Drosophila melanogaster: one gene and its partners. The protein of the gene in region 3 interacts with the protein of the main gene of each other region in a pairwise test. Each region holds a gene or a part of one and is shown on either strand. Other genes may lie near its edges.

Region 1 (6,123 bases), on a different chromosome or scaffold from region 3:
AAAAATCACTTCCTTCCCTCAGCACCAACATATTGGCAAGCAAACCAACATATACTCGTACTTCATTCGGAACACAGTTTCTGTTTCATGTTTGGTGTTTGGTCTTATCAACTGATGCAGGTACATTCGGTGTGTGTTGTTTTATATCTTTTTTTATTTTTACCTGAGCCGGAGGTGCCCACCTTGTAACCGATGAAACAGAGTGTCGACAACCGTGTTGCCTCCTCAATGGGCAAATCTTGTACCAGACGACGATAACCGCAGGAACACGGGGCTCCCAAGAAGCTACAAGCGGGGCACATCGAAATAGAAAACGAGAAGAGTGCACAAGTTGCGTATTTATAGATACACAGATACCCAGATACTTAGATACCGCCGCGCACGCCTTATCAATGTTCAAGGTATCGACTGAAATGCCGTTCAAATATTTACACCCAGCAGCAAATAGATATCCCCCAAACGCGAAGCTACTGCTCCAGAGTCCGGAGACGATGATAAGCGGGAGCGAACATGGGTGCGCTAATTGCGGAATGATAAAACCACCAAGTAGTAGGTATCCAAGTCGGCTACCATGGGTACTACCTCCCGCCCGCCTTGAATTGATAACAGCCCCAGGGGCTAAGACCACGAAAATGTTCCACCAACCCGGTTGGTATTGCCAGGATTTTGGATTGCGTTAAAAATAAAAAGCGCCCCGGAGGTTATCCAGAGTTGCCAAGCCAAATGTCGAAATACTCTATCTAAATGTTACATTCTTATTTATTACAGTGAAATTTTTAACTAAACTTCTATATACGATATTCATAGGGTAAACAAAAGTATAAAAGCTAGAAAGTTGACAGAGTAGCGGGTATCTGATAGTTTAGAGATTGCACTATAGGTGTACTTCTTGTTGTTAATGTAACTATAGTTTGTTTTAATCGAAAGGCAATTTTGTCATTACAAAAAGGAACATTTTCTAGTATTATTTTAAAATCATACCAAATGTAAGAATTCTAAACCAAGTCGAGTACCAAGCCCTTTGTATTTAACATGATGAAGTCATAAAACTCTCTGCAAGGTTTTGACAATTAAATAAAATAGGAATTTGTATCTCTGCGCACTTTGTTATTGCCAGCGTTTTCGACTCGTATTTGCCTAAACCGGCCCCTCAGGAATACCAGAAAGCTCCTGAACCCCAACACGTTGCTACAGAGTTCTGCGATGGATGGGGTAGGGCATCAAGGATGTTACTCCGGGATTCTCCGGGTTGTTGGCAGCTTCGAGCGTATTACATAAAATAAGAAAAATTATGATTTCCGCAGGAGGGTGGGGGGAGGGGGGGGAGTGGAAAGTGGAAAGCGTGTACATTTCGGAGGGGCTGGCTGTTGCTTAACTGTCAAAATCGTGTAATTTAATAAAGTTCGCTGCGGGATATTGTTTTTTATAGAAGCCAGAGCAGGACTGAGACAGCTTTTGCCAGCTGCCAAACGGGGAGTGGCTGCTGTTTTTCACGGAAGGGGGGGGGGGGGTGGTGGTGGGGAGAACGTGGAAATGGGGCTCCTAAAGTGTGCTGCACAAACAAAAAATATTCAGTTCACTTCAGTTACATACGGCATATTGCAACAACGCAATGCTGTCTTGTTGCCCGCCACAGGCACTCCACAAACACACTCAAGGGGGGGTCTATCTAGTATACCCTACATATATATATATAGATATATATATATAGAAAAATATACATCCCTATGTATGAAGAGAGCTGCGAAAAGTTTTTATACATTCCACTTGTTTACTTCAAAGCAGCGAAAAAAGTTCTTACTTTGCGAAATACACAAAACTTGTGCGTCGTGGTAAGTGGAAACCAAATAAATGTTAGACTAAATAAATAAATATTACTTCAAGTTTTATATTCCAGTCCTCAAATCCACTTAACATCTTTAAGCGTACAAAATATTTTAAAAAGATGTGTATTTATGAATCAATAATAAAAATAAAACGCAACTAACACAAGGAATATTCACTTTTATAAAAAATGGGAAATACATTTATATGTTAGGACTTCCTAGGATTTCAAAAATTTTACTGCTTTTATTTTATTTTTAAAGTTTATTTTATGTTTAATCTTGTATACTTTTCATATAAGAAGTTACAGGTAAAAATTAGTACCGTTTCCAAGCCTATAAAGAACTTGTATAGCATTCTAAGATACAATTTCATTTTCACACTCATTGAATTTTAAAGCAATGATAATTTCATAATTTTGTAAAATATTTAATACAAGACATTCCTTAAATCCCACCTTTATATTCCTTAACAAAGCTAATTCAGTTTTATACATGTACATATATGTGATTCATAGCTACAACATGATTCTCCCACAAATTGGGCTTTAAGGTAGAATTTCTTGAAACATACTACTTCCAGTTTCGTACAATAATTGTCTTAGATTTCACATATATGGCTTAAAACCAACCTGAATGGCGCCTTAACAAAGCCAGTCCCAGATGTCTTTCTATTCTCAGCTGACGTCCCCAACCATTTGTGTGCCGTTTCTTTTTACGAAGCGAAATTCCTATTTTATTTTATTAGCAGCGAAGAAATATAAAAGTAAACAGTTGGCTCCAAAAACACACATGACTGTGTACACCCTCCTGCCGAAGTAAAAAACGCCCCACGCCTCCCCTGTTTGCCGCGTCATATGAACGCCCCATTATTTACTTAACATAACTTGAACATTCGCCTTCAACCCCCCACAAAAAAAGAAAAGAAAAGAAAGCTCTTCAAGGGGGAGCATCAAAGTTCTAAAAAAAAAAAAAGGAAAGAGAAAAAGGAAAATTCGAAGGTGGGTGGTTAGAAAATGGTGGGGAGGTCGTCGCTTGGCTTACCTGCCAACCAACCAACCAGCCAGCCGGCAGTTGGCTAGTCAAAAAGCTGTCGTCGATGCTAAGCGCAGACCCAGAAAGTCATCAAATATGCAGAAGGTGGAAATGTGCAGGGAGGCTCCACCATTTCACTACCATTTGCTATCCCAACTCCCCGTCAACCGAAAACGGAAAAATGGCGAAAAAATGATTTATGTGGACGCCATGGAGGAACGGAGTGGACGGCAACGAAAAGCCAACAATAACCGGGAAAAATAACAGAATCAACTGATTTCTCAACTTGGCTCTGAGCCTGCTTTTGTTTGCCAGACTTTCGACGGAGAGTGCGGAGCGGGGGGCCTTGGATAGACCCACAATTTTACCTTCCATTCGGGACTTCATTCTTGTTTTTGCCGCAATGAAAAATGCTGAAAGTGTGCTCCACAGACAGCGGACTCCAATGGTATTGGGGTCACCGAGAAGGTATAAGATATTGATGTACCCAGGGGAGCTGCTTTTCCTGTACAGCTCTATTTTTGGAAAAATAACAAGATCCTCATAGAGAAGCTGCATGGGATATTAGTTTTCATCGGAAGCTCTATTTATGCAGTAAGCTTTCATATATATGTATATATGCTCTAATAATAAACAAGGAAGCCCTACCATATTTGTCAAATTCAACTCGATAATTCATTTACATTCCGTTCCTTAAACATATAACAAGGACACCAATTTCGGTCCGAAATTCAAAATTCAAAAAAAAAAAAAAAGGTGAGGACATAAATTATTTCAATATAGCTTTTCTATATAGTATATATACTTCTTTTCACACAGATGTCCGATATCAATTTGACTGCCTATAACGCCTTTCGCCGCGATTTGGCCAGGATATACAAGACATTCAGTTCGTATACTCAAACCGATTTTACTGAGGATTATGGCACCAACACAGACTTCGATTGCCCAGCCGATGTGGAATCAAATCTTTCCAAACTTTACGATCTCGAACTGGAATAGTAGTTGCATGTGGTAGAAGAGAGTTTATCCGATTGAGATGGAGAACAGGGTCAAGGGAACGCACTCGGAGATCTGTATGGAATCTAGCAGAATAAGGCATCTGCAACCGCTCAGATCGCGATCCCAGGATAACGGAATCAGATTATTAGCCGCAAGAAGCGATTTGGCGATGACACCATGGTCTCTACCATCGGAATCTCCATCTGAATCGGATGAATCCGAATCCCAAATCTCAGGTTACACCACAGAGAGTAGCTACCGAACGGTGCCTGGTTACGAGCTCCTTTCGCAAAGTAGTTCGTATGCCAGCAGACAAAATCCCTACGCGTATCCGCCAGCGGACTTCCTCTGGGAGATCTACGTGCCCATCCATAGTGGAGCCACTGAGGAGGACATCCAGACCGTTCATGGGGAGTTGCGGGAATTGCTGGCCAGCGAGATGCATTTAATCAGAGGCGCAAATGGACCAGTGATCTATCTAATTGCATACAGCTACATGTGATCACTTCTTACACATTTAAAATATATAAACCACAATAAAAATAATTATTCAATCCCCATTTGCAGCATACAGATTTATTATTCCATTTAATATATTTTTTTGAGTTATAAAAATATTGACCTCCGGCAAATCCAGTCCACAAAACATACCAATATCTTCAAAGCGAATTGAGCTCTTTTAAAAAGTCATCTACTTAATCACTTTTTCGACTACAAATGATGGGCTTGCCAAACTTCGTTCAGCCTTTTCAATGGACAATCAGTTCTCGAGTGAAGTGTTTGCTTGTACTGCGTGATCTGCGCCTGTTGACATTATGACAAATTACATAAGCCAAAGGCAACAATTGCCGGAACCCATTCCGGAAACGCGGGGAAGGAAGGAAAGAGGGAAGGAAGGAAGGGGGAACAAACCGAAAACGGATACGCTTAGAAGGACTTGGAGTGGTGGGGGGTTTTAGGGGGTGGTTCGGGCTGTAGGCACGTTAATAGGAAAGCCACACAAGAACTGCTAACGAAGGACACGCGGCCGGCGGTTGAGCGACAAGTGCGTTGGGAAGAATTCCAGTCACACACAGGACACAAGGACAACGAGGTCCTGGCAGCGGGGTGGATCGTCTGTTTGCCGAGCACTAAGTGCGCCGGGCAAGTGGAAATGATAAACATATTTACACAATTTTTGACGGGCGAACGGGTGAAACAAAACACCCGTGGGTACAGTCGTACCCTTCACCCCTTCCCCCTCTCCCTCCACCACACCCTCCCCGCAGTTTTCCCATTTCTTCGCTTTTCTGGTGCGCGTACGCACTTGAAACAAGCGAAAGGAAAACCAAACCCAAACTCGATAAATATGTTTATGTGCAAATAACAAAATATTTGTCGATTGCCCGAAACGAGTGATGGGCGGGGTGATGGGCGGACTTTGGCTTCGGGGTAGGGCAGGCTCTAAAGGCAGAGGCAGCTCCAGGGTTTTCAGGGGTTCCAGGGGTTCCATGGGTTCGAAAGAAGCACCGCAAGCGCATAATTCAATTTTTCTGCTCGTTTTGCACATCGCCCGGCACACGTCACTCGAGTCCTTTGGGACACCGACGAACTGCCATGCTACACCAGCTAAGCCCAGCCCAGCTACACTGCGAGAAAAGTACACAACTACACTGCAACAAAAGAGCAGTAAATGAAACATGAAGGTTAGAAACAAGATTCAACATTACTAAAACTTCCAGTTTCATGAAGTGTGTAGTCAACCAGAACTCCAATCCTTTCCCTTGAAATGTGCCCAGATTTAATCATGATTAAAGTTCAGGTTGGTTAAGGTGTTTAAGATATCATACTGATATTATAATAATATATTATACTAAGAATACCTTAGATTTTCCGTTCCGCTTCAAATTGGACCTCTACCAAAAACGGGATAAGTCATTCCCGACTTACTGGATTTTTCCAAAGTGCACGCACTTTGTCAGGGATGCAGTGGATATTAGTGACACGTGGCGAAGGCTCGACCAAGGCGATCCGCAGGTCCCAGCACATGCGGTTTCCCGGATCCGTCCCCCCCCCCCCTCCTTTCCACCCAGGAATCTATATTTATTTGTTTGTAATTACGCGTGTTCTAAAAACGAAATCCCGCCGCACTTGAAGCCGGGAAAATGGCTAAACGGCTGAGCCTGCTCTTTTCAATGCCCGAAAACTTCGGCCGGGAACACACGTGCAGTGGACGACCGCCTCCACTGGTGACCGGGTATTCCCAGCGCATTAGCAACAATGC
Region 2 (6,936 bases), on a different chromosome or scaffold from region 3:
GAAACGAGAAATTCGCAAAAGGAAACTGACCAAAACGGAAGAGTCTGGCGAGCAAAATTTGGAATTTGAAATTTCCAACGTTGAAATTAAAAATCCCGAATACTCTGAGTACCTGGACGAAAGCAAAGAAGTAAATATTCACAATTTGATAAGTATCTTAGACATTTTAACGATTATCGAACAGCATTACATATTGCAGCAAAACCCGGATGACTTAGCCAATGGATCGGCGACGATCATCGAGGCCAGGCCAAGAAATGGTTTAGCTGCATTGCGAGCGGAAAAGGCGCGAGCCGAGATCAGTCAGTTCCAGAGTAAGACCAAGTTTCTTAAAACGGAAACGGACAATCTAAAAGTAGAGCGCACACTGACTTTGCTTAAGATTCAGAAGCTTCGATTGGAAATCGACGCCCTACGCGATTAAAATGTATTTTAACTATAGATAACTTTTAAATGTCCGCATGGTGAACCCTTAATTTTTGTTAAGATGACGAAAATGTCTGTCTTGAATTCAACATAGATTTATTACATTTAACTTTGTAAAGGTGATTACAAAATACATTATTTTAAGCCTGATTACTCGAATCTTTTTATTAAATAATAATGTAATAATGCAATGCTTACAAGTGTTATTAAAATCGATGTAATCTAATGCTTACATACATAAATATTACATACATCAAAATTATTGAATAAATAAAAATACATAATAAATAAAACTAGAAATACTAGTACAATCGATAGTTCGCACTCTTCGACAACCCTACTGATACCCATTCGATAACTGACCCCAAGCAACCCTGTTCATCACATGATAGTCAGGGTGATATCGGGGAAGAGAAAAGGTTTTCTTTGCAGTCGTTCGTCATATGATTAAAAGTCCAGCGGAAAACTGAAAATGTTGAGAGTTTTCGTGATTTTCTCGCTGTTTATAGCGGCCAGTAAGTAGATCTACCATCTATAATCAAGTAAAATGCATGCGCAGCAAGTGGAAAGCGGTCACAAAGTGGATATTCTGTACTCATCGATTCCTCTTTGGGGGTGGTGACACCCAGAACTCGGGACTCCAAAGGGCTCCCCACATGCATGCGCAGAATCTTGGACAAAGGAGACGAATATGTTAGATTCTACAGAACTTATGAGCTACGTCTTCCTATTTTGCAGTCAATGCCTCTGGCGAATTCACCGTGCTGAACCGTCCCAAGGCAATCAGTTTCAAGGGCAACGATGCACTGGAAAGCCACTACGTGGGTGATGTACTCTACGCTTCCATGGGCAACGCCGTCAGCGGCGATACCAACTGGAACGGACTGACCATCAACGATCCCTTCAACCTGGCCAAGGGCGTCATTCTGGTGCATGTCCAGGGCATTGGTCACGTGACCACCGCCGGCAACGTCAAGACCTACGAGCTGACAGGCTCCGGAACGGACGCCTCTCTGAACGCCCTGGCCGCCGAACTGGAGGCAGCCAACGAGCCCGTCTGCGATATTAACTTTGAGCAGTTCGACGATGGCGTAAGTGGTGTCTTAAAGGGGAAAAGCACATTTCGTTAGTCAGTTAGCTAATTTGTCAAACCGCAGAAAGCATGATCTTCATCTGAAAGTTCGTTTAAAGAAGCTTCTCTACAATCCGCTATAACTTCCCACAAATATGATAGATAGTTATTAAACCTTAAAAATTAATTAATCACATGATTTATAGAGTGAATCATAGTGCCTTCCCCCTTACGCATATAACGTAGAGACCAATGTATATTTAACCACATATTTTTTATAGGTTCAAGCCTGGAAGTCCTGCTTTGGTGATTTCGAGGCCCCAGCCGCCAAGCCCACCAAGCACCTGAACCCCTCTCTGCACACCGCTGACAAGCAGTTCCTCCAGGAGGTTGGATTCATCAACAGTGCCGCCGATCATCTGGCTGAGATGGCCAAGCCCTCGAATGTCCTGATGCTGCGCGTTTCCGTCGATGGAGTGGCCAAGGCTCATGGCGAGAAGTCCGTGGCCGTGGAGGAGGCCAACAAATTGCTGTCGGCCGCTATCAGCCGCCTGCTTGCTGCCTCCCAGAAGTCCAGCGACTCGGTTCTGTTTGTCCAGACCACGGAGAAGGACGTGGCAGCATCGCGTGCCAAGCGTGATACCATTGCCGCTTCCACCACCAATCCCTACAACCTGGCCGTCTACTACGGCAGCGACTACCCGGTGATCTTCAACATCATCCTGTGGTTCATGGTCGTCTTCGGACTGTCTCTGCTGGCTATCTGCTACGCCATCGCTGCCATGGATCCCGGCAGGGACTCCATCATTTACCGCATGACCTCTACCCGCATCAAGAAGGACAACTAAGGAGGAGCAGGAGGAGTTGAGAAGCGAGAGGAGCAGGAGGAGCGAGAGGAGCTTGCGTTACGCTTTGTTATTTCGTCCCCCTTTTAAGTTGAAATTTGCCAACTTCTACTTCAATCCAACAGCGGATAAATTGTGTGTTTGTGTGTGTGCGGACAGCTGTCGCAGTAGTTGGTTTTATTATCTATAAATAAGTATTAAAAAACTTTTCAGTTTTCAATGCAGTTGCGGGCGTCGCAACAATTCCATAGAAATTTGTTACATTTTCCTGTTTTGTTGTACTTTTTAGGTTTATATATATATACGAATATGCACAACATACTCGCCAAGTCAGTCAGTTCTTCAAACGATTCATCATATGTAAATTATCAAAATGTGAAGTGTTGAAAAGTAAAGTTAAATATATATAGCCTAAAAAGACAAAGTTGCGCCTGGTTTTGTTATCTAGTTTTTGGGGCAAATGATAATTGAAATCATACGTGGTATTCTTGATAATTTATTTAATTATTGCACTTATAAAAAGGTTAACATGATAAACTAATATAAAATGAAAGCTATTTCAATTTTTTTCTTCTCAAAATCGTAAAGTATGGACCTTAACTTTTATAGGTTCATGGAATGACTTTGGCAAATTGCGGATATAATATAACACAAGTTTTAAATTGAATATTTAAATGAATTCCCTTTGATATTCGTTAATTCAAGTTACGCTCCCCAATGATCGTTGCCATTATCATAAGGTGAACTACTTCCGCCGCTCCAGGCACAGCATCCATTGCCATTTTGACCCACGGAGCTCTCCCGCAGCATGGCCTGCAGGTGATTAATGTAGTTGATGGCAATCCTGGGTAGGCAAAGATCATATAAATATATTACAGAGCTCTACCGCAGATACTTTCACTTACCTCAAACTCTCGATTTTGGAGTACTTTTTCCCATTTGGCTTGGATATGGGTAGCTTGGAGCGCAGTAAGTCAAAGGCTCGGTTCATGTCCCGCATCCTGGTTCTTTCCCGATCGCAGGCGGTGCGTCTATAGTCCTTCTCCATTTGCAGCGCCTTCTCCCGCCAGGCGGGATTGTGCTCTTTGGCGATGTCCACCTCAGTGCTATTGGCTATACTACCGCCGCTATAGCTCATATACATGGGCGGAGGTACCAGCTCACTGGGTTTGTTGCATTCCAAGCCCACTGGCGAACCGGTGGCCACCTGGCCAGCATGCCACATCGACACCGGCTGAGGTATAACGCTATATGTGGGTGGCAACAGACCCATATTGTGCGCTTCCTTCTCGTAGCCACCCATCACGCTGGGTGAGTAGCTATGCGGATGAGTTGGCGCATATGCCAGCAAGCCTGCTCCATCCGCGGTTAGGGTGTAGTTGAGACTAACTGCCGGACAACTGGACGATTGAGGGGCACCGAGCTCTAGAAGAACGGGCTGTTCCGATGATTCCGCCTCGCCCTCGGATCCACCGCTCAAATAGGGTCCACCGGTGGTGGCTGATACGGGCACCAAAACTGGCGGTGGATCACCCGGTACGCCGGCCGTGGAGCTCAGCAGTTGATCCGTCATCGCTTAAGCCGCTTTTCGAATGACCGATCAAGAGTTCTGGCCGGACTGCAGCAGGTTTACCTGGACTCGGTTGGTTTTTTTTTTTTTAGCTTGTACCTTTTTGTTTTGCTTACTTTTAGTTGCATTAGAGACGACTCTGGCGATCGTGATGAATGGCTCACCATCGATCCATCGATTCGAGACGTGACTACTCATCCGGGGTTGATGAGGGCCACATCTCGTCTAGTTTAAGAGGCCACCGCTTTGTACGTGTGTCAACAGGTGATCTATAGGGGACCAACTTGTCGTCGAGGGTCCTTTTGTCCCATCCAATCGCTGTGCAAACAAAGCGGCTTAATTTCCTCGCTATTGTCCGATCGATCCGACTCCGACGGCTGCGAATGGTGATCGAGGCGCGTGTGGCAGGCTGGAGTTGCGTCCGACTTATGTCGGATCCCTCTCTGGGATCAGCGATCGACGATCGTCGCCACAACTTCAGTTTGAGTTTTTCTTTTTGATCGTCGCTATGTACAAACACCCACACTGGAACTCAGCCCATATGAAAGAGTGTATTTTCGACGCATGTAAACACAAGTGTTTTGACTTAATTAAAAAATACACACATATGCATATAGCTAGTTATGAATATAGGTTCGTCTATATGAAGGTAAGAAACCTAAGCTTGGCCAATCTAGCTCCAAACTTCGCCCAATTCTAATTTCAAACTAATTTGGTTTCTCTCTAGTCAATGAAAAACCGTGATCGCCAGCTAAGTGCTCTTATAATCCTATTAAAAATTATATTACATATTCTATACCTATTTTTATGATTTTTCTTAATTGAAATAGATACTTGCTTAAAAGACTGAGATATTGAGCACAGTTTCCATTATTACTACATATCTTCTTTAATTAATAGTAATTAACTAGCAAATTATTTTTTTCTTCCGAAAATTCAGAATTCCTGAAACTATAAACCGCAAGGAAAAAACTAGAAGAATATCTACTGATAGCCCGCGAAATTCAATTCATGTGCAAGATCTCGGGTTACCAGAAAAAAAAAACAACACACAACTAGAAGTGAGAAAATTACTTACATTTTTCCGAAGTCGAGAGTTATTTTGCTAGCTGGCTAACCAGAGAGGCACCTTTGCCCGGAATCGGAAATGAATATGAGCAGAGTGTAGTTTCTAGGGAAACCTAGAGAGTTGACTTGTTTCTCTCCTTGGCTGAACGTTTCGGGTTTCCAGGAAAATGTATAGACTTGCTAACAACTTCCCAAATGTGGGTCACTGTGGTGGCAATTGCAAATCGAAGCCGAAGTTTATTGTTTTCTGCTTTATAAAAATAAACACGCTGTGTAAAAAATAAAATAAATAGCGAGTACAACGATGCATTAAGTGGGCGCCACACGGACTCAGAGCCAAGGCATAGATCAATTCTGTATAGCTATTTACATAGAAGTGCCTTAGTCGGTTCGGTGCTAAACTAATATCGCTTAGTTCGATTTAAGCTAATTTCATATAAACTGGTAGTAAGAATCGATGTCAAGCAAATGCAGGTACCTCAATTCGGCTACCGTTCTAACTTCCGAACTTCAGGGGTCGTAGTTCGAAGTACTTGTCCAGCACTTCGTCCGTAATCAGCTTGCGGGCGGCCTGATGCTGTTCCACAATGGGTGTGAGCGTCTAAGAAGATCATTTGAGCACATTAATTACAATGTTTTTTGGGAAGATTGTAGCATCATCATTGCACTTACCTCAACTGCCAGCTTCTTGATCTCGCCCGTAAGCATTTCGCCTTTGCTGTAAGCCACTCTCACCTCCTCCAACTTGGCATCGTCCTCCAGGAAGAACTTCAACAGCTGATAGGAGACATCAACTTCCGGAACTCCGCCCAGCTTGCGGTGCTCCTCCACAGATACGCGTCCTCCGGAGAAGGCGTACTTGTTGATCTTGTTCTTAATCTGCTTGGGCGTGTCCGTCAGATAAACAGCCGAGTTCTGGTCGCTAGCCGACATCTTCGTCTTGGCACCCTGCAGCGCCGGGAAGAAGGTCGAATGGATGAGCGCGCATTTGGGAAAACCAAGACGTGGAGCCACATCGCGAGTCATGCGGAAATATGGGTCCTGATCGATGGCGCACGGGATGAGGCAGTGCACCTTCCTGTTGCCGAAGATGAAGGGGAAGGTGCTGGAAATCGCGGGAGCTGCTTGAGCGGCTGGGAAACCAATCTTGCCAATGATGTCTGAGTCCCCGAAGCCAAAGATGCCCTTGACCTGATTGAAGGTAACGCACTTCTGGATGCGAATGATGTTCTGATACATGGCAGGACATTTTCTGTAAGTAATATAGATAATACAGATTATACAGGTTAAAAGTTTTTTAATTTACTTACCCCACGAATTCCAGGTTATTAAAAATGAACGTCTTGTTGACATCGAATCCAATGGCCACAATATCCTTGGCGTTTTCACGTCCAAGCTTGATGGCATCCTCCACTTTCAGATCCTTCCACAAGGTCTTCTCGTCGTCGGTCAATTGAATAACCAGCGGCACATCAAAGGTCTCCTGCAGCCACTTGGTCATGATGAAGGGCACCAGGTGGCCCACGTGCAGGGATCCGGAACTGGGACCGCGACCAGTGTACAAATAGAAGGGTTTGCCCTGTTCGCGCAGTGTTAGAATCGTATGAAGATCCCGGTGCGAGAAGAACATGCCCCTTCGGATGAAGTGGTGGGCGGGCTTTCCCGTGATTTTCTCGAAACGCGCGATAAGCTCCTCATCGATTTTGCTGGAGCCAAACCGTTCTGCAACGTGTCAACATGTCGTTTGATTAACTTGATTAATAATTTGCCTTGCAAATGTCTTCTTACTTATCAGCTTATCATAGTCGACGCCCGCGTCATTACTACTGGCCACATTCCATGGATCCACAACATCTTCAGTGGGTGCAGTGGCTCCCTCCTGTGCCTGGGCATCCGTGCCCGTTTCCACGGGTTCTGCGTCCGGTTTTCCATTTAGTGTCAACGCCTCCACGCCC
Region 3 (7,572 bases):
TATTTTTTTATATCGCACATTTTCCCCATTTTTTTTTATCCATCCAATTGGGATGGGTGACTTTAATCGAAGACATCATCCTCAATTACAGGACATCGCCGCCCCATTCCACGCCCACAGTTGTCAATTAGGAAATAGATCTATGAATTATTGACTCCCTGTCGCTTTGCCACTTGTTTTCTATACATATATTTTTTATGTCCATTCCGGGGGCAGTTCGAACAATTTGCGGTTTGCCCGGGTCCAAACAACAATAACTAATGCGCCCTAAGCGTGGATATTTTGCCCGCCCTGCCAATTGTCCTGCCAGGAGCTACGCTTTTTTTTTTATCAATTGATTGTCCTGCGACGAGGACTAGGGCGAGGGTGATATATATACACACATGTGAACACACGATGATGTAGCCTCTAATTTCTGCTGATTGCCTGGGTGGGCTACGCTCAATTTTCGCTTTTATTTTTTGTTCATATATGCTATTTTCCTTCCCAAAAAAAAATATGTTTTTCTCTCCACCCTCCGTCCTGTTTGACCTTTTTTTTTTGTTGTCCGGGCATTTTACGGCTGATTATTAGTGGTCTTATTTATTGATTGGCCGGCATGCCATTGGCCAGGCCCAAAAAGAAAAAGAAAAAAAAGAAACGCGGAACAGGTAAGTGCAAAGGTGAGCTGCTCTTTTACCTGCTGTCTCGCGGCTAAAGGGGCGTGGTCGAGCAAAAGAAATGGCCGGGGGCGTTGCCCGATGATATTTGCCTAAGCGATTAGATTAGATGTTTGCTCACAGATTAGCAAAGACAGCAGTCACAGACTGCAACTTACGATTATTTATGAAAAGGAAAACTTATTGACAGCGTGCACAATATTGCGCCAGCTGAAGAGGGTTAATAATGCTTAGGAGCCAGGGGGGCTGAACAAAAAAAAAAAAAAAAGAAGTGAACAGAGAACAGGAGAAAAAGGTGAAAGGGTGTGAAGCTGTCAAATGTGTCAGTCCGCCTGACAAGTGTCAACAGAGTCCTTGCCAAATAGATTTCATAAAAGTGCCAGCTTACCGAGACCGTAAAGTCATAAATTGCATTAACCCTTTCGGGCAGTGACCAAATCGAATGCGATTTAAGCAGATCAAATAGTCAATATATACTCGTTTATATGGGTAGGACAAAGGACTGGATTATTCTATTAATATTTGATATTTTATTTTCATAAACGAAATCTGGAAGTTTTACCACACTCCTACCACCCAATTACCGAGTAATTTGCTATGCATTTCCGATCTCCTGATAAAGTTTCACATTTTTGCTAGCTGCGAGAATCAGAATTTATTAGCTAGTGTGATGTCATTGGCATCTTTTACCCTCTTGCATATATGCGTAATTAATTCAGACATTTTCTCCCCGCATTAACAGAAGGAAAAAAAGCCGAAGAAAATAAATTGAAGTGCGTCGATTTGTTAACCGCGCAGCTTAAGTCAAATATTTACGAGCTGCGACTTTGGCCTAAAGCACTCCTGGCCATTTAATGCAAGCCTGCGGCCATTAATATCACCCCCCCGCCCCACCAGACATTGGTATATATTTATATATAGTTGGATGTATCCTTAGGGGTAAGCCAAGTAGGACAATTAAGAATTAACATATTAATAGAAGTTTTGCGCAAATTATCAGGACAAGAAAATATGAAATTCGTTCAACTTCTTGTATTTTTGTTATTTATAACGTTCTCGTGTTATTGACTGCCCAGGGGATGGGGGCGTGGCAGGCCGAAAACAATACGTTGATTGTGCTAATTTATGCCCCCATCCTGGCAGAAACACACACATGTGCAGAGCCAAGGAGTCGAAGGATTCGGTTTTATGGCCCAAAGGTTATGGGTGTCTGCTCTATCTGTGGGGATGCCATAAAAACCAGGCAGAGAGCGCCACACGGTCGTCCTCGTCGTCGGCTGTTTTTAGGTGCTCGCTTTCGTAGGACGCAGGACGAAGGACACAGGACCCCGATGAAAAATGGCGTCAGCCACGAAAAACTGGACCAACTATCCTATCTGTGGGCAAAATGGTGGAAGACAGCGAAACTTGCGCCTCTTTAAGCAATCACAGTTGTTATTAATATTAAAGTAGAGAATATGGCAAGGAAAAAGACAGTATGTATATGTATCACCATTCATTTGCAATCACTTTGCCTTCAATGCTGCAAAATCGAAAACTAAAGACAGCTGAATGGTTATCCAAGTGCTCCACTTCGTTGACGGGTTGTTAAATAAAAAAACAGAGTAGAAATAATAATAACGAACGCCCCGAAAATGCTGAGTAAATATTTAAAGACAACGCTCTTTTTTTTTTTTTTGTTATTTCGACTTGTTGTATTGTTTTTTGGCCAACTCATTTAAAAGTTTAACAACAAAAAAGGGTTAAACAAATTCAAAATTCTGTGGCAGGCGATAACAGTCGGCGTGGGCGTAGTGGTAGTAAGTATATATATAAATATGTAAGTGTTGTGTCCAACAGGCGGTTGAATTTTTCTTTTATTTTATTTATTTTTTTTTTTTTTTGGCTGACAGTGACAAAGCGACGTCAGCAGCTGAAAAACTGAAAATCAACTGGAGTCGGAGCGGCCCCCGGACTTAATTTGTTTAAACAAATTATGTGTGGATAACATAGCGATACGGATACGTGGAAAGGTGTTTAGCAGCTGAAACTATAACAAACAGAGCGCGATATATCGTACACATGCACATAGTGTTTTATATTATATATGTACATATATATGGTACCGCCTGAAATTACAATGATTTCTGTTGTGCGGGGGCGCAACAAATACGAGTATCGAAGCCCCGAAGCCTTATCACACCGGTCGCCTTCGCAAAGTGTTTTAGCATACAAAATTTGGTTTTATTTGCCTACTGTCCCCCAATAGAGCTCGTTTTCATGGTGGCTCGCGGGGTTCACGGGGTTTTGGGGTAAAAAAAAAAAAATAAATAAAAACGAGGAGAAGAAGCGGTTAGCCAAAAGCTAGCGCTGACTGCTGATAACACCCGCATATGGCGGCAAGGTAAGCGACTGGATATCTGGACAAACAAATGAGCAAACGAATGGAACCCCGACCGTAAAACCGGAGACCGCAGACCCGTAGACGGACGGACAAACGGACGGTACGAGCCCACAGTTACCCCGCCAGGTTGAGTGAATGAGCCATATGCAAATATGGTCGCGGCCTGGAATCGGGCATTAACATATAGTCCACGTGTGCGTCTGTCTGTGTGTTAAAGCTGGACACACATGGCGACTGATAAGCCAAAGGAAATGGGCACAAGGTATGGGCACAACAACATTAAATAATAAAAGAGCATTCAACCGAAAGTGCAATACAAATATATAGCAATTAATATTTAAATATAGCCAGGTGAAAACTTAAATGTATGATAGTTAGTATGTTTAAATTTAAACAGCTTCTCATGTTTTTGCTTTGAATTTTTTTTTTATTTATGGGAAACTAAAGCCTAGTTAATGCCACACATTAACAAACTAGATAAGGTATTATTGATATATTATAAATATAGCTCATTTCCTTTCAACTATTCCAGGTTTGAGTAGGTTATCTAGTTTTATTCTAAGAATCTAAGAAGCGATTAAGTGCAACTGTACTTCCGGTTAGCTAAAATCCAATTGGTCTTTTGAAGTCGTGCGTTGTTTGAACATCCGTTTGTAATCGAAATGTAAGTTTGAGGTGGACCGATGGCAAAAGACCCGCTCTATTTGCTTAGAGCCAATGAAATGTTCCCATTGTTGCTCTCTGCTCACTTCTTTTGATAAGACATATGTGTGGCTTGTAAGTTTTACTTTTCATTTTCAGGTCGTTGTTTTTTACCCTGCTCGGTTTTTTTTTTCGTTTTTTGTCGCTAAAATATTTGTATTTGTATTGTGAGCAAGGTGCAGAGAGGCGATATAGAGAAGTTTGTTTTATTTCCCGAAAGTCAACGACAGTCACGACGGACATATGTAAATATAGCTGCGATCCATATAGGTAGGTAAGTAGGTTGCCCCCTCTTTACCCACACTATACACCGCTGGGTGTGTGTGCTGGTGTGGGTGCGGGCGTTGGCTTATTGTTGTTCTGGTTGTTCTTCCCAGTACAGCGCGCTTATCAAAAATTGTCCGCACATTTGCCCGGTTTTTGTTGTTATTTTTTTTTTGTTGTTTTGTATCTATTTGGGGGACAACATAGAGCGACAACGGCAAATGATTAAAGAGACACCCATGAACACCATGGTAAAAAGAAGTACCGCAGCAAAACTGAACAGAACAGGAAGAGCTGTTATAGGAATTTCTGAGAAGTTCCAAGAAATGCTGCGGTTATCTCCGTCCAAGATACACGCCTCTGGGCAATTGCTTATTGGGGAAATATTTTGGGTGCTCTTGATTATGATATAACAACGATTTTAGGGTTCGGTCACTCAAGGCATACCACAAATTAAACTAATGAGCTTTTACTGTTTTTAATTTTAAACTTACGGCTCAGCGAACGGAATCCATGATCCTCACTGATCGACAGCATTTTGTTGTACATCTTGATTTTTGTATAAAAAAAAAAATATTGTGGTGTCTTGTGTTTTGTTTTTTATCTTGTTTTGTTTTACGTTTCAAACTTTTAACACATCACAAGTTATTGTTGTTTTTGTGGTTTTTGGTTTAAAAAAAATAGTTTTGGCATTGAAAAAAAAAGTGAAAGGCACAAAAAGATTGTAGTGACAGACACACACGATCGTAGGTAATCCAATTGTCCTGCGTGTGGTTGTCCTAGAATGTTTGGTTTTTCTTGTGTTTTTCTTATATTTGATGAGCACTTTCACAAGACACGAAGCGGTAACACAGTAACGGTAACGGCTGCGTATCGGTTGCGTATCGGTTAAACCGTTTCGAGTGATTGTGGGGAATGCGAGTTAATGTTTCGTAAATCGACGTGTTTGTCGGCCGAAGGATCTAAATCTGATTTGAGGTCGTGAGCAGTGTGTTGTTGACCCCTCGGAGGCTTCACGTGGACTGACAACTAGTTGGCTTCCTGGGACGCTCGAGGGTCGACGGTCGTCGAACGTTCAATCCTGCCGCTGAGGCTGTGCCGTCGCCGTCGACGTCGGCAGAGACAGCGTTTTTTACTCACACACAGCGCACACACACCGCTCTTCATTCCCTTTGACCCTCGAGGGTCGGGGCTAAAAAAAAAAAACCATATAGGAAAAAAAACGTGTGTAGTCACCACTACACACACACACGCGCGTGCAGGGGTTGCTGGCCCGTCTCCCTCTCTCCCTCTCTCACTCATGCCCTCTGTACCTCTCCCTCGCACATGTTCGAGTTGCGAGTGGACCAAAGGCAAAATATATGGGAAATAGGGGGATGAATTCATCTCTGGACGACTACTGTCCGTTGATGCCAGCGTCTACGCCGACCGAGGCAGCGACGGCGACTACGACTGCTCCCCCGTAACCCCCCCCCCCCCATACCTTCTAAAGGAAAAATCTGTCTACTCACATGGATAAAGGAAAACTATCGACTGTCCGCCGCTAATCGCTGCCCAAATTGAGCTGTTACGCACAGCAGAGGGTTAAAACGCCGGCGAGGGAGTGTAACTATAACTATGTCATGAGCATAAAGATTGGAACAGGGGGAGCAGCAGTAAGGGTGTTGATAGAGCGAACGGGTTGTCGGGCAGCGAATAACTGACCAATGACAGGGTCGCACTTGGGATCCTAACTAAAGATAGGCCTTAGAAGTGCCACAATAAAATCATAATTTAAAGTTCAATTATAACATATTGATAAAAGTTGAAGTATTTTAGGCTTAACTAAACACTCTTTCAAAAACACCAGGAAATTTTTTGTATATTCATATTACTTTTCTGAAAATCTACCAATTATGTTCGAATTCGAAAAAGTAATTCTTTAGGCTAATTAAATGAATAAATGCAATAATATCCTAGTCCGTAGAGGTCATAAAAGGTTATGACAAGCCAAAGATATGGATTAGGTTTGTTATTTTGAAGTCAAGCCTAGAAATAATTTTCGTATCTCGAAAGAATAATTACTTCTTATTGGCTATTCTTGATTAAGATACTCGTCCGCTGTTAAAATCAGTACGAAGTGTTTGAAATTAGTTTAGTGGGCATATAGAGTTCTGTAATACCATACTATGAAGTTGTTAGTTTTAGATAGTTTCTAGTTCTTGGATATCGAGTTTAGCAAGGGGATCAGATTTAGTTCGTTCATAAAGCAGGAGGGACATTGGTGTAGCAAGGGGAATGCTCGAGTTCCGTTTTAGTTGAGTGAGCTATTTATGGAGACAATGCTCCACAGATCCTGGAAACGTCGGAGTTCCTTGAACTCTCTCTCTCTCTCTCTCTCTCTCTCTCTCTTTCTCCAAATCTCGGCATCGTTTATCCCAGCATGGGATGTGCGCAGTTCTCTCTGGAGTTCAGATCGCGGAAGCTGCGCAATAAGTGTGGCGACCAGCCCCGATCTCAGAACCCCCCTTCCCCCTGAATACATATATCTAATAATAGACGGGATTCGGGGAAGGAGATGAAGATGGAGATGGAGATGGACAGGCGGATGCGTAACATTCTCTAAGATTCTCTTCTTCTGCCTCGTTGGTTAATCCTTTCCCATTGTCACGAGGGTAAACGAATTTTTTTGTTCCTCATGTGTGTTGTTTTTTGTTTTTTTTTATGTTTTTTACTAAACCATACCACGGGCATAACGAACCCTGGTTTTTTTGCGCGCGCTTTTGATTTACCCCTCGGCAGGACTAAGACGCGGCGGCGCTTGCGCAGATGCGAGCTGCCTTGTAAAAGGATGCTGCTAATGTCCTGGAACGCTAAGAAGAAGGCAAAACAACAAAAAAAAAAAACTGGTCCCTGTCCTTTGTGCGCTTTAATCAAACGCAAAAGGGGCGGAGGGGAGGACATCCAGGCACAGGACATCCAGCCCGCGTCCTGTCGCCTTGCAATTATTTTTTATGCAATTTTTACCGATCGCCGCCTGCTTTCCTCAAAGTTTCCTTTTGTGTTTCTTTCGATTTCCTTTGTCCCGGGGTAGTGTGATTTTTTTTTCCCAACCGTTCTGTTTTGCAACCCCCTAAGGATCTGCGGAGAGTTGCGAATTCTGTGAGTCCTGCCCGAGTCCAGGTAGCCTCACTGTGTGCGTCGTGTGTGTGTGTAACGGCATTTTTTGTTCTATGCAAATTTTTTTTCCTTCCCCGATATTAATTTTTTATGCCCCTCGTGCGTGTCCTTATTGTTTTTTTCTCGTCCTCCCGATTTTGGATGTGTGTGTGTGCGCGCCTTGGGTTTCCTTTTTCCGTTTTTTTTTTTTTACTTTTGGGTGGTGGCCAAGATTTTCCCAAGATATGAATCGCGAGGGTTGGGGTGGCGTTTGTGTCACATGTGAGGCAGGCAAAGGTTTTTTTCGCCTGATTTAGATAGAGGGTCCTGGACGAGGACAAGGACGAAGCAGCCGGCGCAGCTTCGCATTGATTACCGTCGCTTTTTTAATTCAATTCAAACAATGATAAAAAGGAAGATGGTCTT
Region 4 (10,894 bases), on a different chromosome or scaffold from region 3:
CAATCCCGCGCCTCGAACGGAATTGGCGACGTCACACATAGAGTTCCCCCATTATCGGTTAAGCAAATTCCAAGACCGACTCGGATGTTTGTCCAAGAGGAGGAGCCGTGCACTAGGTTAAGTATCCGCCACCGATTGACTTACGATTTCGGTTGGGTCTTGTTGGGGGCCTGCCACCGGGAGGGATATCTCTAAATTCTAGTTGTGGAGTCGAAATCTCTGTTAAGATACGTTAACTTATCTAAGGCCACTATCTATTCTCAGATATTCGATATGTCCCTCTATGTATACCATATACATACGTACGGGCCGTATTAGAGGCGTTGGCGATAGGGAAAATCGCTTTGGTTGATAGGAGCAATCAGCGGGTGTGCAACACCCAACGGAGTTTTCATTCCAGAAGAGCATTTTTCCTCAGACAGCCGCGGAAAAGTGACATGCTACAACTCGGTCCAATTTCAACTCAAATCGGTGGCAACGAGAATCCCATCCATAAATTTCTCATGGCTAAATCGCAAGGCTTTGAAAGCAACGAACAACAAAATGTCAGCGCTCATAAGTAATAAATAATGTTTGTATGCGTTTTGGGGTCGACGGAGTCGTCAGTTAACCAGCTACCTACCCAAAACCGAATCGAAAACCCAACACAGTCCGTACTCCACTCCGGGTACCCACTCCAAGTGCTGATCCCAATCAACCCCAGTAGCCATGATTGTTAACGTTAATGGCGTCGATGTCGTTGCTGTTTTGTTGCCGTTGTGGCCTCCGTTTCATGTCTTACGTTTCCCAGCCAAAACAATGCCCAGCAGCAAGCGCACTGAGCACCTCTGTCGGATTATTATGGATTGCCAGTTATAGTGATGAGTCACAACCTGGCCCCATTGGCAAACAAAGGTGCGTATACTTAACAAACAAGCAAGAGAGTCTCACAAAAAAGAGACCACTGCCAATCGCAAGAGGCTATGCAGTTGGAATGGAATATGCATTAGATCGAAAATGTATGTTAATTGAAATCATAGTAAGATATGGATAAAAATTGTATTAGTTTTGGTTATAAATAATAAGTTATTGGTTTAATAACATACTTACCGCTCCTCAACAAGCTCCTCCACAAAAACTCTTGTTTCTTCTCTGATATCCGAACTTTCCCCTGACTCACTCGAAAGATACATCACTGTCCGAGTGTCCAATCCATAAATAAACGAATGAACATTCGTTAGCCAAGTGACAACTCTTCGGAGCGTAAACAAAGAAAGCTTAACTTTTTCCTTGCCAGCTCCTTCTGCGGAATTGGACCTCCTGCTCTTCCAGCTGGTAGGCAGTGCCTCTTCCTCCACCTGGGACCATGAAATCCCGCAGTGCGGAGTGCGCAGTTCCATTTTCATAACTCATGTCCGAAATGTTGTTAGCGTGCTTTGGCCGGATGATTTATGACCTCGGCGCGGGTTAATAGAATTTACTTGAACCCAATTTGCCAGCGGTTGCAAAGCGCAGAGTGCAGCCGCCCAAAAGGGAGAGCCATTACGGCACTTCCATTTGCATCTCCATCTTTCCATTCCATTTTTATTCGATTGAGCCACGCCATTGCGGCTGGCAGGGATTGGGCAACCAGCCATGCGGGGTGGGACTTTGGATCGAATCGGATCGCACCCCTGCTGCCGACTATAATTAAAACTATGGCGCACGCCTTTGTTGCCACTGGCACGTTTAATTTCCAAAGAGTTCTTCCCCTTATCAGAACAACCCGTTTGTGCCGCCAAACAAAATTGGAAAAAGACCAAAAAGGAAAGCTAGAAAAATAATACAATTATAACCAAAACAAGAGCGCAATAAAGAATATATAAAAATTAAATTCCATAGCGTCATTCCAGACAAAGATCGGCGATACTGTCAACTGGCCGAGAACACTTGAGGCTAGATAACTTTTAGGCTATGGTTTCTTAAGGTTTTGGTTCGCTTCTATGGTCTTTCACGGACATAGCACTTGAAACTCCATGGAGGTGGACAAGTTGAAGGGTGTACGATTCCGGGTGTACACGATATGCCATGGTCAGCAATCTTAAGACTCTGTCTGTTTCGCCGCCCCTAAGTCTTCCGTCTTAGGGTCGTAAATTCGCCGGCAAAGCACCTAAAGCTAGGCGCGGCGGTGCCATCAATTAGGGTATTAATTGCCCGGCTCTGCCGTGGCAAGAGAGCCACCTCGATGAGTCAGTCCTGTGGCCGGGTATCCAGTTTGGAGTCCTCCTCCTCAGCATTAATCTCCTGTAATGTTGATTTCGTGTAGCGCCATTTGTAACGATCGAAACTGGCATAGCCGTCAACTTTTTGAGTGATTAATCACCGCACAGATATTTCGCGACACGCAGCAGTAGCTACTATTAGATACTTTTTGTCTGCCGGTTTTGCTCTTAAGATTTGCCCATGATTTATGCACCGCATGCGTTGCAACAATTAAAATTATCGCCTCAACTCGATTTCCATTCATGGGAGCAGCGGAAAGTTGCCCGTAATTGTGGCATTATAAGCAACTCCGAGGGGATTGTGCATGTTAATGGCCGTCATATATCTGCTTGCTTTATGACTTTAACTATAAACAATTTATGATTCGCTGGGCCAACTTGGCTGGGTGGCCAAGATATGTGGCTAACTTACAGATTGCAGCTCTTCGAAGAAAAGAAAGCAAGGAGTTGGTACGGATTGCCATAGGGGCTTAGCATTAAGCATATAAGCCTAGATTGAATTTTTTAGAATTTAAGTCATGGTTTTCATATACATTTTATTATAAAATGTACTATTTAGCTACTACATCCCTATATATAGTAAAGATATGTTTACAATATTTATCTACACATACATCTCTGCTTACAAAGTATCTGTAATTGACAGGTTGAAAAATATATCAGATTTCTGACCAAGCACTCCAATCACCCAACCACTTCAAACTCAATCTTTTCCTGGCTGGTGACAATTCAGGGGTTTTGCAATATATGCGCCGCACCTGATCCTCGACCACGTGTGCTCCTGCCCTCCACCTCCGCCTCCTCCGGCGGTGTTTATTAGTTACAACACTCGAGAGTGGATTGTGAAGTGTGGAGAACTAGAAGAACTGGAGAAGTGGAAGTGGAGCGCAACAACCGAGCAGTCGAGCTGTCAAAGCGGCCCACATTCGGGCGACTGTTCGTGGGGTCATATAAAGTTTCCGTGCCCATGCCCATGCCCAGTCCCACTTTCCAGGCCCAAGCCCGATCCGATGATATTCTGTTGACGTTGACTAACGTTGCTCGAGTTTATTAGTTTGCCAGAAAAGTGTTTTATGAGTGCAATTAGAAAATGCGCTAGACTAAATTGCACAATTGACAAATAGCAGGGGGCGAGGGTGAGGAGCGCTGAAGGGTGGAAATGGAATCAAATGTGGTGCTGGCTGAACTGTGCCGGCTGGTGGGCCTCTTGACGCCACTCTTCGGAAACCTCGGAACATTGGTGTAACATAGGTGTGTTGGAAAATCGGCCGAGCGCGCAGGCGCAATTTGTATCTCACGGATACTTATCGCAACCGTGGCACCAACACTCGTTGCGTATCTTATCGCATGTGTGTCGATAAGATAACCAATACCAGGCGAGGCGGTACAGAATAAATCATAACGCTGCCACACCGACAGGACCACGCACCCACACAGGTGTGAGGCCGCCCAACCGCAGAGGCGCTGGATCTTCATCGGTGTGGGTAGCTAATTGGGCGGCAAACGCGCCGCAGGCACCGCATTGCGTCGCCGTCGTTGTTGTCATCGCAAGTGAGGTGCTTGGTGCTCAGAGTGCTCAGTGTTTAGTGTATCGAGCCCATAGACCGGAGACCAGTGCCACCACCAGAGCCCAGTTGGTCTCGAAAAAATAGCACTTCGTATCACTGCTAACTGGCAAAGGTTGCGCGCGGGCCACAACCACAATCGCCCCACGGGTGACAGCATTAGATCGCCCCCAAAGCTCCAAAGTTCCTACTTTCCCAAGTTACCAATTTTCGTCAATTTTCGCCAATTTTCCCCACTTGCTCACTTTGCGCGGCACTTTTTCGGGCGCCCAGATTGATAGGAGAAGTGAACCAAACACCTGGACAAGCCGTGCTTGTGATAAATTTTTGAAAACACAACAGAACTGAAATCAAGTGATAAAAACCAATCTTAGATAAAACGCTGGAAGAAACGCAAAGAAGCGGCGTAACTTCAATTTGATGGTCTGCAAAACTATCTCACCGAGTGTAAACATGCAGCTGAAGGTGGGTAAAATAAACTTATAATTATTCAAAAATAGTCAGCGTAATTTTTGGGTATTATATATTAAGTTTGCCAAGTCGGTATTTTCTTTTCAAAACCAATTCCGTTTAAAATCCATATCGGAATGGAGAATATCAACCTGACCGCTTAAAGCAACTATACGTGAACTCTATTAAAAACATTTAAATACCTTTTTGATGCTCATTTACGAGATCTCTATAAGCCTATCTATCATTTCTACTTTGTTGAAAGATCATAAAAGTTTTTAACGTTTTCTCACACAAGTTCATTAAGCTAAATAGACAGGCCATATAGGGTCATTAAAAGCAGATAGTTCAAGTTTATAGATCAGTCGCAAGGCACGAATAAATATTAATTTATTAATTAACGGAGTATAAAGAGCTTTCAAAGGTATTTACAGCTCGAATAGCCATATAGATTTTACATCCTTCGGTGTACCGAGCCAGAAAATGATTTTAGCCCGCAAACGGCAGCGATATGGATTTTTTTCAGTTCTAGCGCCAGGGAAATAAGATAAGACAAATTGATTTATAATGAATGAGTCATCTGGGATGCAGCGGCAAACTGCGACACTTATTTTGGTGTCTGCTCTTGGAAGAAAAACCGAACCGAAACGAACCGAAACCATTAAGAAAACGAGAATGGGTACGAAAACGGGGCAACAAGAAAGCAAGTTAAATGTGGAAAGATGGCTAATCTTTATGAGGTCCAAATTCAGCTGCGATCGAAGGTGGCGTCAAAATACCTTTGACAAAAATAAAATTTGAAACACGCAGCCGACTTTCAACTGCTCGCTCCTCTTCATTCATGAAAAGGGACTGTTTTTACCCATTTTTTGCTGGCCACGGATAATGTGAAATTTATGTCAATCTTATCACCTCGCTTTGGTCCTGCTCCTTATCCCTGTCTCTAGCGTATCCTTCATGGGCTTGGGGTTGGTTTTGTGAATGAATGCCAACCCTTGGCTCATCTGGGGGTACTTTTTATCCTGCCGGAAGTGTCCTTTCGACCAATGGAAGAACAGTCCCTTAACAGTTGCTCAATGGCGGCATCGATAGTTGCAGTTCCAGTTGCAGATACTTTTATTAGACACGCGTCGCCAGTTGACAGTGGATGATGGCTGATAGGAGAGAGGGCGAAGGTTGCGATTGATGGCCCTTTAATAGAGCTGTAAATGCAGCTGGCAGTCGAGAGTCTTATCTCACTTTCATTAGCCAACTGCAGTGAAGTTTAATTAATCGAAGGATCTTCTAACGAGGGCAGATATAAAGGGTATAAATGTATATCCAAAAATGGGTACATTTATTTACTTCCCATTCTTTTGTTAATTATATAGATATTTTGAAAGTGCTCTCACATCTTTAGCCTTTAAGCAGTCTTACCCAAGAAATTGTTCATATTTTTTTATAAGTCTAAAATAAAAAGTAAAACTGGCAAAGAATTTCCTCGAGAAATTTAGAATTTTAACAAAAATAGCATTCATCACAACTGCATTATATTCAAGTTTTATAGTTCTATTCAGTTCTAAATGCCTTAAAATGTTTGGTCAGAGCTGCCTTTGAAATTTGCTCAACCACGAACCCAAGCTCAACGAAAGCGAAACGAGGTGCGATTATATAGTCAATATCTTTTGTTTATATAGATAAAGTACGAAATGTACGTGTGTGTGTGTGTGTGTATGGTTGTGGGTGTGACTGGGCAGATTTCATTCATAAGTTCAGCGGACTCCACACCCTCGCAACGATTCTTGACTAAGCCGAGCAAATAGCGCATGCCATTGCCATTCTCGGGTGACAAACATCGCTTGCACAACTTTTGTAATTCTTGGATATATCTGTCCCTATTGATGACGTAGCCGCAACTGAGAGTGGGTGCGGGCAGTTGGGGGATACCAACCATGACCTCTCAGTCCCAGCAGCAGCAGCAGCAGCTGATTATGTACATTGATAGCGCCCGGATAAGATATTGTCCGTATCGTTCGGCCGTAGTATCTTAACTTTTTCGCGGTACATGGCACGTGCATGGGGGCCTACCTATCGTACTACTACTATATACACACACTCAAAGTCGGGTTTATCTGCATTTCGGGCAGACGATTGTCTGAAGTGACGTTTGCACCACATTATCTCGCACCCTTTCCATCCAGGGAATTCTTTGAACTTTGGCCAAGACGTTGAAAACTTGGCACGGTCATCACCGCCGGCGGAATGCAATCAGTTTCCATGGAACTCTTTCGTCCCCCATTTATATGCCTTCCACATAAGTAATTAAACTTTGTACCTTGGTAAGCGTTAGATTTTTCATTTTTACGGCTTGTCACCAACTGAATCATCATTGAACTTGGCTTGTGTCCACGCAAAAAATGTATCAATCATTTGTGGCACGTCAACCTAAAGTTCTGCGAAAGTGAATCAATTTTCATTAAATGGAAGATAAAGTATTAGTTTTTTCATATAAAGGGAGAGTGGGGATTTTTATGGAATGTATTAAATCAATTCAGCGTGGTGATTATTTTCGGAAAAAAAAAACACCTGTACAAGTATATGGTTATATCTCAGTTAAAAGCAATTATCTTTGCAATATATTTCAATGGCCACAAAAATTTTCCTTTAGTGTTGCTGTGGATTTCCTCAATTGACGGTGGTGATGGTTACACATAAGCACACACATTTTTTGGTATATTTATAGCCATGGTAAAGGTGGAAACCACCTGAAAGCCTCTGAGCTATATGGCACTTGTCATGAGCGGACTGGCGGTAAATTTCAACCTGGCCGCATCGTGAATCAGGTGACAGTGACGATCGAATGTGTTGACACAAGCTCGAGGATGGGAATGGGGATGGGGATGGGTATGGGGCTTTGGAGTGGAAGTGGAAGTGCCACCCCCAACGGAATGAGGTCATAAACCCAAAAGCGACTGACGTATGGCGGGGAAAGCAAAGCGATTTTATGGCCAAGTTTAATTTCCGCCAAAAGCCAAACTAAACCAAAAAAAAAAAAAAAAAAAACCACGAATACACAAGAAAAATGAAAACGAAACCAAGGCACCGCTCTGAGTTTAGGGTTCTGTGAGCAAATACTTCTGCTGGTGGAAATGAAATGGAATAAAAGTGAAAAATGTGTTCGACAATGTTGACACTGAGCAACTGAGTGGTAGAAAGGAGAGGGGTCGCCTCCAAGCCCGTCTCCGTTCGGCTCAGTTTCTGGTACTTTACGGTTGTAGGCGACAAATTGAGCTGTGAGTCGAGCGCGGGCGGTGTCTTTGAAGTCCGTCTCAGCGGTCTTGGTTGGGCTTGCGTCTTGTTGACTTTTGTGGCGGAAACCGAGGCGGGCAGTTCGCACTGCAACGGCCGGAACTGGAGCCACACTTTTGAGACGAGCCGGGCGAAACATGGCATTCAACACTTGTCGCTTGCTCATTGCAGATGGAACAGCAGACAACGCAGCAGCAGCAGCAGCAACAGCAACAGCAACAGCAACAGCAACAATTGCAACAGCAACAGCATCAGGCTCTAACCAAGCAGCAGCTTCAACTGCTGGACAAAATCAAACTCGAGTCCAGCAACGGCGCCGATCAGTTGGCCCAGCAGACGGCCAACAATCTGGATGAGCAGCAGGAGCAGCAGCAACAACACCAACAGCAAGCCGCAACATCGGTGGGCGTGGTGGTGCAGACGGGCCAAGCGGGCGTCAGCGAACCGGAGGAGCAGTACGTGGTGGTGCCACGCAACCAGCGCCGTATTCTCACCACAGCCGGCACACTGTAAGTAACCTCTGGAGACCTTCTTTTCCTAAGAACATAAGCATTCACAAATTTCATTTTTAAACACAATCATCTAATGCAAATGGCAATCGATAGTTACAATTTACCATTGTTATTTAACAGTGTTATTAACAACATTTCAGTGAATTAAACGAAGCTCGTGAAGGAGAACCGAGCACAAACGCCAGCAACGCGAGCTCAGGATCTGCTTCGGATAGCCACATCGAGTACCAGCGCAGTGCACACCAATCTCCCGGAGCCACTCACTACGTGCAGATGGCGCCACGCAACGCAGAGGTGACGGAACAGGTGGGAGCTGCTGCCGGAGCTCCGCCGGGCACCATCTTCGCCTATCCTATTATCTGCAACGGTGACGATGTGGCCGCGATCAAAATCGAAACACTCGAGAAGGGAGAGGCGACGGGGGAGTCGCAACAACAGCAGCAGCAACTGCAGCAACACCAGCATCAGCAGCAACAGCAATGTCCCACACCCAACGGAGCTAGCTACGGCGAGACCATAGTGATCAGCAGCGAGGCGGAGGCACTGCAGCATCACCACCAACAGCAGCAGCAGCACCAGCAGCAGCAGCATCAGCAGCAACACCACCAACACCAGGCGGCAGCTGCAGCATCGGCGGCGGCCCAGACGGTTCACATTGCCACCAGTTCGCATGGTGGAACCGTGCGCTTCGTTACGGAGGATGTACGCTTCACCACCGCCGGACCGGAGACATCCGCCTCGAATATGTACTACGATGTACCCGTGGTGGATGGCAGTGTGCATGCCAACGAGTCCAAGACCTACGCCGACCTAGGCAACGCATATGCCCCCTTCCCGCCCAGCTCCAGCTTCAGTAGCAATAGCTATGCGGCAACGCTTCAGCAGGGAAACACTATTTACAGTGTTCCGGGCACCGGTCAATTCTTGGCCAAGTCCGAGTCTGGCCTAAATCAGACTGGACTGCTGCGCCAGACTGGACCGGCTACTTTTCAGACGATATCTTTTGAGGGCGGCAACGGCATCGAGCCTTTATGGGCATCTCCCGCCCCGCCGGAGTACCAGAGTGTTCAATTTGTAAGTATAATTTAAGTTACTGGTTCTTGAGGCGGTACATACTAACTGTTCTCCCGCATGCTGCACAGAGCAACTTCCATCCGCAGGTTATTGATGAATACGGGAGCGGCAATATGAGCACCTCCCACTGGCCGCCCGCCAGCAGCATAGGGCAGTACGATGGAAGTCTGGTGACCGCCTCGTCCACATCGTCGCCCAACCACGAGCTAAAGTGCGAGAACTGCCATGGGCCGTTCTTGCGGAAGGGTAGCGAGTACTTCTGTCCCAATTGCCCGGCCTTTATGCGGATGGCGCCCCGTATAACCCAGAGGCAGGCGAAGCCCAAGGCCGCCGCCGCCCCCAACAACCGGCGCAACGGGGTCACCTGCGCCAACTGTCAGACCAACTCGACGACCCTGTGGCGTCGCAACAACGAGGGCAATCCGGTGTGCAATGCCTGCGGACTGTACTACAAGCTGCACAACATGAACCGACCGCTGTCGATGAAGAAGGAGGGCATCCAGAAGCGCAAACGGAAGCCTAAGAACAACGGAGGAGCACCCATGCACCGAGCACCGCTGCCGAGTGAGTACACCTGCCAGGGATTACAGTATGCAATAAACTAATCCCAATTCCCAACCAGGCATGTCGCAGGGAGTCAACCTGATGGCCAACAGTCCGCTGTATCCTTCCCAAGTGCCAGTTAGCATGCTGAATAGCCAGCTTAATAGCCAGCAGAATTCCAGTCCGGAGCTGCACGACATGTCGACGACGGGTCAAGCGGGTGGGCAACGGGTGGTGTCCATTTCGCTGAATGCGACGGCGCCGCCCACCCCCGACGGAACGCTCAACATGTCCGCCCGTCATCACGTGACCGGCGAGAGCCATTCTCCTTACAGTCAGCAATCAACGCCACAGAGTCAATCGCCCCATCTGCCCGGCACGGTGCCGATAAACCGTCAGATAGTTCAGCCGTAAGTTAAAGATACTTTTCGCTACCCTGTCGGACTCCTCAATAATAATCATACCTTATAGAGTACCCACCATCGAAAGCAGTCGCAGCTCCAACACTGAACTGACCCCCAGCGTAATCACGCGCACTGGTCTGCCAGAGCGATCATCGAATAACTAAGCTAGCTTTGACTTATGGCTTAAGCTACGCACTAAAGTAACCTATAGTTAACCAAACCCAAATTTCAAAAATTGCCAAAATATTTATTTAAGCCCTAGCCGTTAGTCATACTATATAGCCAAGACCAATGTCCCAGTTAGAGGAAGATTTTGCCGGGTTTTCCGGGTCTTGAGTAACCATTTAACTGTGCAAATGTCTTCCTCCTTTTAGTCAACTGCTTACAGCAAATAGTTTTGAAATGATTTGTGCCAACCACTTAGGATCGCTATACTCTATATAGAGGTAGTTTAGCCCAAGACAGCACAAGCCCATAATGAAGCCTACGATTTTGTATGTTTAAGCCTCTTTTTAATTCTACAAAATAAATAAGTTGTAAACGCAAGGCACTCGGACTTTGATGGCTTTACCAGGATGCGAGGTACCTTGGTGGAGATCGTTATATTTCATTGTCAACAATTTGGCAGCCAACCAAATTGATCCAAATTAATTTTAATGACCCCCACGGACCACAGCGCGAGACCATAAAATCTTAACAAGTTGGCAGGCAAGAGACCCGCGATGGGGCAACCCAGAGACGAGGAACCCAGATCTCGCGCGGATCACCGAAGCATTGGAGCAGTGTCTAAATAGCGATTTGGTGTCATCGCTTAAAAG

Evidence for each region.
Region 1: the proteins of Cph (region 3) and CG17344 interact in a two-hybrid assay, tested with the Drosophila melanogaster proteins (one large-scale study listed by BioGRID).
Region 2: the proteins of Cph (region 3) and sage interact in a two-hybrid assay, tested with the Drosophila melanogaster proteins (one large-scale study listed by BioGRID).
Region 4: the proteins of Cph (region 3) and GATAe interact in a two-hybrid assay, tested with the Drosophila melanogaster proteins (one large-scale study listed by BioGRID).

What each region holds. Positions count from the first base shown.
Region 1 is NT_033779.5:19,098,491-19,104,613, forward strand, and holds CG17344 (uncharacterized protein), read left to right. Parts: upstream 1-3,553; 5' UTR 3,554-3,614; intron 3,615-3,677; coding exon of another isoform or gene 3,678-3,860; 5' UTR 3,861-3,897; coding exon 3,898-4,362; 3' UTR 4,363-4,419; downstream 4,420-6,123. Other genes in the region: CG43731 (uncharacterized protein), read left to right, coding at 3,678-3,860.
Region 2 is NT_033777.3:9,259,827-9,266,762, forward strand, and holds sage (salivary gland-expressed bHLH), read right to left. Parts: upstream 4,317-6,936; 5' UTR 3,917-4,316; coding exon 3,249-3,916; intron 3,188-3,248; coding exon 3,049-3,187; 3' UTR 2,828-3,048; downstream 1-2,827. Other genes in the region: Ibf1 (insulator binding factor 1), read left to right, coding at 1-130, 185-424; ATP6AP2 (ATPase H+ transporting accessory protein 2), read left to right, coding at 899-941, 1,165-1,517, 1,780-2,346; TrpRS (Tryptophanyl-tRNA synthetase), read right to left, coding at 5,478-5,582, 5,654-6,233, 6,292-6,703, 6,770-6,936.
Region 3 is NC_004354.4:7,223,917-7,231,488, reverse strand, and holds the start of Cph (chronophage), read right to left. Parts: upstream 5,035-7,572; 5' UTR 4,558-5,034; coding exon 4,503-4,557; intron 1-4,502.
Region 4 is NT_033777.3:16,008,514-16,019,407, forward strand, and holds GATAe (GATAe), read left to right. Parts: upstream 1-3,760; 5' UTR 3,761-4,225; coding exon 4,226-4,270; intron 4,271-7,714; coding exon 7,715-8,052; intron 8,053-8,195; coding exon 8,196-9,129; intron 9,130-9,197; coding exon 9,198-9,693; intron 9,694-9,751; coding exon 9,752-10,082; intron 10,083-10,143; coding exon 10,144-10,240; 3' UTR 10,241-10,620; downstream 10,621-10,894.